Ovis aries: one gene and its partner. The protein of the gene in region 1 purifies or fractionates together with the protein of each later gene. This does not show direct contact. Links are inferred from orthologs where the notes say so. Each region holds a gene or a part of one and is shown on either strand. Other genes may lie near its edges.

The links.
Region 2: the proteins of RMND5B (region 1) and ARMC8 purify together in Homo sapiens (affinity purification with mass spectrometry; 4 studies listed by BioGRID and IntAct, with this or other methods). This does not show direct contact. The link is inferred for Ovis aries from reciprocal best matches to the Homo sapiens genes RMND5B and ARMC8.

Annotation. Positions count from the first base shown.
Region 1 is NC_056058.1:36,944,749-36,948,563, reverse strand, and holds part of RMND5B (E3 ubiquitin-protein transferase RMND5B), read right to left. Parts: intron 3,282-3,815; coding exon 3,181-3,281; intron 3,002-3,180; coding exon 2,835-3,001; intron 2,389-2,834; coding exon 2,223-2,388; intron 803-2,222; coding exon 700-802; intron 604-699; coding exon 449-603; intron 362-448; coding exon 298-361; 3' UTR 1-297. UniProt on the Homo sapiens protein: Core component of the CTLH E3 ubiquitin-protein ligase complex that selectively accepts ubiquitin from UBE2H and mediates ubiquitination and subsequent proteasomal degradation of the transcription factor HBP1.
Region 2 is NC_056054.1:251,535,222-251,539,036, forward strand, and holds part of ARMC8 (armadillo repeat-containing protein 8), read right to left. Parts: intron 3,509-3,815; coding exon 3,437-3,508; intron 2,105-3,436; coding exon 1,962-2,104; intron 1,858-1,961; coding exon 1,760-1,857; intron 1-1,759. UniProt on the Homo sapiens protein: Component of the CTLH E3 ubiquitin-protein ligase complex that selectively accepts ubiquitin from UBE2H and mediates ubiquitination and subsequent proteasomal degradation of the transcription factor HBP1.

The DNA of each region.
Region 1 (3,815 bases):
TCCTTTGCTATTCTGTCAGTTGCCACTTAGTCAACAGCAAATATAAAGAGCAGGAAGCAGAGCAGGAGTACAAGACGCCAGTTTCCCTGCCGTTCATCAAGAAGCCAGCTGCCTGCTGTAGGCTGTCTCATCTCCCTCCTTGGCCTCTGCCAGAGGGCCGGCCCTGCTTGTGGTGGCACTCCTCAGCCAGTTGCTCTGAAATGAACCACAGTTCACGGAAGCCAACTACCCCCACCGAGACAGACCAAGGCTTGTGGGTGAAAGACCTCTTGCAACAAAGTTCCTCCCCAGCAGGAATCAGAATATGATGCGTTTCCCATCTGCTGGGTTCTGCTCCATGGGACAGTAGGGACACTTCAGCCTACAAAGGGAGAAGAACCAAGAATGTCTCAGGTGGCCAGCCAGCAGAAGAATCAACCTAAGGTGGGAGAGAACCCCAGGAACTTACTTTCCTCCATTAATGAGCTTGTTGAGTGCATCTCGGGAGATGACATGGCCACAGATGAGCTTGATGGGAGGGTTGGAATCTGACGTCTGCTGGCGGAGGATGGGGCACGCGAACACAGAGTGGTACCAGCACTTCATGCCGAGTTCAATCTCAATCTGGGGAGGCCAACAGTGGGGTGAGTCCCCCTTCCTGTGGCGCTGTCCTCCCCAGTGCTTCAGGCTGTGCCTCCCCCCCCCCACACTGGGCCTCACCGGTAGCTCGTCCTTGTGACTCCAGACCCCAGAGCACTGCCTCTGCTCCATCACAGCTTTGATATTCATCAGCACAGGCAGTGCCACACAGCCAGAGGCAAAGCTGCAGAACAGAGAGTAGGGGCTGGAGGGACCAGCCTGACCAAGAGCCCAGCAGACAGACAAAAGGCACTGCACGCTGTCAGTACATGACTCAGCACAGGGTTTCAAAGTGGCACTTGATCAAACCAGTCCTTAAAAATCTCTCAGGTCATGCAGAAAGCCACATACATGGTTCTGTGTCTCAACTCTAGAAAGTCATTCTAATGCACCCCAAAATTTGGACAAAAGGAATATCCAGGGGCCAGATACCTGTTCATCCACGGATACATCCTCGGTGTGACAGGGACACTAATGTTCGGAAGGGCCTCATCCTGCCTGTGTACCCCACTCTGTCATCACAGTGCACGTCTATAACTGGTTATCAACCAGGGCACTTAGAAATGGGAAAAAGTAGATTCAGTTTTCACTAGGATTGGGGTGGGGATGGGGAACCAACTGGCTGGAGCCTGGGGTGCCAAACCCCTACAATACGCAGAGCAAGTGTGCAAACAGAACCGGCCTAAGGTGCCCATGTTCGTGCTGGGGAAGAATGTTCTGTAACCAGAGTCCATGGGAAGAAACTGGAGGATGGAGCCTATCACGACTGGGCAGACAAATGCACCCCATGCGGTTCCACGGCCAGCCTAAATAAAATACACCACTGTATGTACATACACCACACATGTATATGTGGTGGGGTCAGGTCCAGGTGACCTTCATTCCCTATGAGGCCTTAGGAGCCTCTGTTTCTTCCTGTAAAATGAGGGTAACAGCACCTGTAACTCTTGGGTTGGTTTGAAGCCATGAGAATATTACTGTAAAGGAGCCGTCAAAGCGACAGCTCTCAGCACCTGTGACTCAGCTACTCAGTCTCCCTGAGGGAAGTGGTGTTTGAGACACGAGGTGGCCAGAAGGCTGGGCCGTCAGAGGGTCCTGTGATTACCCAGAGGTGAGGTGCAGGAAGCACAGACTTCATTCAAGAGACCTTACAAAATGGGAACCCTGACTCTGCCACTGACCTTGTGGTGACCCCAGGCCACAACTCTAAATCTGTTCTCCAGCTGTAGTGTGTGTTGAGTCACTTCAGCCATGTCCGACTCTTTGTGACCCCATGGACTGTAGCCCACCAGTCTCCTTTCTCCATGAGAATCTCCAGGCAAGAATACTGGAGTGGGTTGCCATTTCCTCCTCCAAGGCATCTTGCCTACCCGGGGATTGAACCCACGTCCCTTATGTTTCCTGCATAGCAGGCAGGTTTTTACCACAAGCACCACCTGGGAGGGGTACTAGAAAGAAAGGTAATTCCTACCTGGAAGAGTGACTGAGCAGCCAGTTTAGGTCTGTGAAGGCACCAAACACCACCCCTGGACAGGGCAGGGCCTTGACAAGTTGGGTTTCCCTCAGCCCGCCCACTTGTACTGCCCCCTCAGGGCTGACTATACCTGACACTGAGGGGTGACTCCACAGAAAGGCCCAACAGGGAACAAGCATCACGTGTAAAGGTCTCACAGATCTCGGCCCAATGGCTGTTGTCCAGGAGATGGCAGTAGGGTGACTTCTCCAAACCCAGCTGCAGGTACACCAGACTGCCCATCATCACCTGGATCTCTACAAGGCAAAAGGGAATCAGGGTGCAAGGAGGCAGCTTTTCTCCGGGCTCTGCCTCCAGCCCTCGGGTGGCAGGGCTGCAGAGGCAGTATGGGGGGCAGGCTGTGCCCCATGGCTCCCAGGCCCATGACCTGGCCAATCGATTAAAATGCCCTCTGGCAAAGCCAGTTTTCCCTAAAACCCAGTGAGGAAGTAAGGTTTCAGGGCTGTTTCTGTGGCAAGCATGACCGCACAACGTGACATAGGGAGGGGTTTCAGTTTCTTCCCCACCCTTCCAGCTGCGTCCAAGGAGCGGGTCTCAGGCTCTTGTCCCTCTGCTCCAGTACTAGCTAATCTTTTTTTTTTGGGGGGGGGGGCAGTGGGGGGGGCATGCAGTATAGCATGTGAGACAGAGCAGCATAAGGGAATGCATGTTGTAGGGGCCACCCCAGCACCTGGGCACGTACCACGCTGGTGCACGTGAGCAAAGGGCTGGAAGTGCCGGGCATAGCTGAGGGCCTCCAGCTGCTTCTCAGGGCCACCTGCCAGGAGACGGATGAACTGCAGTCGGTGCAGCTTGAACTCCAGGGAGCTATTGAGCTCCAGCAGGCGCTGCCTGTGGGAGACAGCCCACCTGGGGAGAAAGAGGCCAGCTGAGTGGGAGCTAGTAAGGCAAGAGAAGGGGGCTTGGCAGGGCCTCCAAAATCTTATGTGAGGCCCGTGAGACAGGACTGGAGGTGCGTCAAGTATGCTGGGTGACGCGAAGAGCAGACAAGCCCTGTCCCCTGTGGGACCACCCAAAGGCCAACGTACTCCAATGCTGGCCCCAGGTCTTGTTCATGCAGAGCTTCCAGGATACGATTCAACTCCAGGAAAGGCTGCTTGAAATCCAAGTCCACATTCAGTGTTGATTCCTAGAGGGAGAGAGAGCCATCTACCACTGGAGGACTGTGCTTCCAAACTTCTCTGCTCCACACCTAGTAAAACCTCATCCACCAAAGACAAGCCAGAGAGGGGCCATGGTCTCTTGCCAGTCCCTTGGACTCCTCTTTTTCCCAGTTCAAGTTCTGGGAGGCTGAGTGCTACATGCTGGCCTCCCAGAGGACAGACTGCAAACCCCACCCCATCTGCTGTGGTACTAGAGACCCACACTGAGTAGCACGGAGAGAAAATTACTCTTTTTCAATCCCCCTAATTACATTAAGGGAAAGCATCCTTTACTTTCACTGCCAGGGTGTCGTTTGACACCTAACAAGTACAACTTTGTCATTTTACTAGTCTTCCCTTTTAAGAAAAGGATTATCAGGCACTGAGAACTCAGGCGGACACCCAAATCCAGCTAGAAATTCATAATTTCACTTTGTACTGTATATATTTTGTAGCTATTTTCCATTTATGGCAGGAGCACTGATTTCTAAAATAAATTTAAGAAGTAACAAAAGCAAAAC
Region 2 (3,815 bases), on another chromosome or scaffold:
AGTCCCTTAAGTCCCTGTGTCTTAATTTTTCTTGCAAAAAGAAGCTAAGTTGGTATATAGCAGCATTCTCCAAATTACGAACCACAATCCATTAGCAGATCATGAAATCAATTTAGAGAGAGAGAAGGAAGGAGCTGAGTAAGTTGACCAGGGTCAATTCCTTCCCCAATACTGGGCTGAGGGTTGGGGAAAAACTTCTAGGGTAAAGAAGATGAGTGATTGGCTTAATTTCTTTGTAAAAATGACAATCGGAAATCCTTAAGTAAACAGACTGATACTCAGATGGAGAGTTCTATATAGAATGCTGTGAGAATGCTTCCTCAATTTAGAAATGCTTACAGTAAACCAGTGGTTCTCAGAGAGTGGACCAGTAGCATCTGGTTTACCAGATACTAAAGTTTACCAGTTACTGGCAAACTTGTTAGAAATGCATATTCTCAGGCCCCATCCCACACTGACTGAATTAGAAACTCTGGAGGTAGGGGTCCAGGATTCTGTGTTTAATACGCTCTCCAGGTAATTTCGGTCCCTGCTCAAGTTTGAGAACCATTGTGGTAAATGGTCTATGGATTTATGAGCCATGGTTCCCCAAAGAATGTTACACAAATCCTCAAGGTATAAAATCAAGATGCTTCATAATTTAGCTCCCTGCTGTGTGAGATGACCCACAAGCCTCATTTACAGACCTTAGGCATCATTACAGGCCAGAGGAGCAAGTGTCTAATATAGGAAAAACAAACTCTGGAGGCACATGACATGTCCCTCTCCCTGCCTGCTTTGCCTATGCCTCTTGACTACTTATATTTTTGAAGTATTTGTAAAACATGACCCTGGACAAGATCTCCAATACATATGTGTCCACTTTGAAACTATGATTCTGCATCTCAGCTCAGAGAATCACAACCAGCATTTTTTAAAATGAAAAAGGATAAAATAGAAGTCAGAAGGCACCACATTTATGCAATTGTTTTGTGAAGACTATCTCAAGATATTCCCACCACCACTCTGCGCCCCCACCTCCCACCCCCCACACACAGTGTGGCCGTAGAAAATATAATTCTACTGTGAATTGTGGATAAGAGAGTTTAAAAAATACTAGCCTTGATAAATTTATTAAGAAAGCCCCAGATAAGCAACAGATAAAAATACACTCTAATAATCCCTGAAGTTTCTGAAAACCAATGAATGACTCTGAAGATCTTTAGATTCTCTCACATGTATTCTCTGATCCTAGCCTGGTAAGTAAGCCTCTAACAAGTGCTTCTGGTTCACCTTTTCAGCTGAAATGAACAATGATTCCCTTCCTGCATTAAACTATTCTGTCCACTGTCCTGCATATTCTCTTTTTCAAAGATGTGCCCTAGAACAGCTTCTTTTCTCTACACTTCTTGAAATCTTATCCATTATTCAAGATCAGGTCAAATTCTACCTTCTCCATAAAGCCTCCTCTACCAGATTTAACCTATAGTGAGTGCATTAAATGTGTTTCCTTTTAAGAAATTAAGAAAGGTCTTTACAAAACAAAAAACAACAAAAAACCCCAGCTTATAAATTTCTCAAGGTCTGGGACTACCTTTCACTGCTTTACAAAGCCTAGAACATTTGATATTTGCAAATTAGCAATTCAAATATTTCTTGAGACTTTTCTATAACATAGTTATCACAGCTAAGATCAGTTATGAGATGCTAAGCTAAGTAAATCAGAAGTATGCTGTTAGTAAAAATGTAACTTGATGATTGAAAAACACCTAAAACTCACTGTATACAGTAGTTCCTCTGGAGTGACGGGACTGGTGAAGATGGTGCGCAGGCATCGGAGGCAAGCTTCAATGAACTTCAGGTCTGGGGACAGTAGTCCTGTTAAGAGAAAACAGATTTGAGACTCATGCTTCCAACTTATATTTAAAACGCTGCAAACTGATTCTACTTTTTACCTGTATAAAAATGACTTCCTTACATACCTTGCAGTAAGGCAGGGATAATATGGCAATCTAGTAGAGACTTAACATTGTTTTCAGTACCCATAGCAAGACTTCCCAATACCACTGCACATTCAGTTTTCAATTCTGTGCTTGAGGTTTCTTGCTGAAGCAAGTACAATAATCTAAAAAGAAAGAACTTGATAAACAGAAGAGACTAAAAAACTTAAAAGTAAACATTAGCTAAAAGTAATGTTACAGAAAAGGCTACCAATACATCCCACACACTGAAAATATGGTAGGTGAGTTTACAGGCTGCTAGGAAATGGTCATATCTTTATATAAGCTGTTAATTTAATAAAGGAATATCGGCAGCGGGGAGAACCAAAAGAGATTTTCTTCTTTGTGAACAACAGAATTATCATACAATCTTAGTGTCAGAACTTCAAAATCTGAGAGTTGTCCACAAGCGATGTCCTGTAGAAACAGCCAGCACGACAGTCCACATTATCTGACACTTCAAGATATGAAGATTCCCAAAGCCAAGTGCTGGTGGATCTTAAGGACCCTGAATATCCACTACCACAGTTCAGAGATCACAGACATCTAGCCTAGAGGGAATACTCAGAGTCCTTGTGCAGCTCTTCAAACAAGGGAAGTTCTCTTCTTTCTCTGATTCTCCTATTTGGGGCATCAAAAGATCCTATTCTATTCTAGGCTAGCCTGTCAAAAAACTACTCCCCAAATTCCAATTGTCTACAACATATGACTATCTCCTTTATGTTCTAAGGTACATCCTTCATGCTCCCTAAAGCATATTTATATATACTGAGCACTAGTCCCCTAAGAAAGGCTGCTGACAGCTTTACAGTTACCAATGGTTGATTATAATAAAAACAACAAAACCATTAAACAATCCTACATTAAAAGACACGAAAGAAAAAAGAAGAAAGAAAAGCAAGACATTTAAAAATTCTGAATGAAAAATTTGTAACTGCACATAAAACTTAATTCTGGGTAGCAAAGGCAAAGAAGCAGTTAAACAATTATCACTGTCTGCCAAAAAGAAGCTTAATAGCTTCATCAGAAGACATGAAACTTTCTATGTTAATTTAAAAGCCAGCAAATTCTAAAAAGCAGGGTCAAAAAATAAATTTTTTTTTTAGTTTCAAAAAAGGTTTTGAGAATCCTAAGAAATTATTATCCCATCATATAAAAGTTGCCAGAGCTCTGAGGAGACCGGGAAGAATCAGGATGGTGTACATTGCTTATTTACCCAACGTGTCCTTTTATGGCAGGGTCAATGATCTTCCCAAACCTGTAAAAAGTATTCATATATTCCACTCCTTGGTATCTTAATTTTTTAAAAGAGATGCTTCATATACTTCAAAGCATTTATTAAAAAAAAAAAAAAGTAGGACAGACAATACAGAAAAAAGAAGGGTCTTATGACTGAGAATGAGAACACATCTGAAACTTCATATGAATAGCAGAAAAGGGGATAGTAGCAAACTTACCTTGGAACAGCTCCTAAAACAATGAGGTTGGCTTTCTGCTTGTTGTTTCCAATTACAGCATTTTTCATGTCTCTGAATTCAAGGAAAAGAGAAAAGGGTAAGATGTGTTGAGATACTAATTTATCTTTATTTTACAGCATCTTGGATTGTCAAGTACGGATGTTAAGTGACAAAGTAAAACCCTGACACTTCTCTGCTTGGAGTGCTAAAGAGACGGGACAGAGACAGGGCTGTGCAACCAGGGGCTATGAAACAGGAGGGCAGCAGTGGAGGGGGAGTGAGAGACAGCCTGAGAATCAGCAAAAGACTTTCAATACAAAGAAAGCCGAGTTCTTCAAAAAAAAGACCACCGATCCTTTGAATAATAAGAAATACAGGC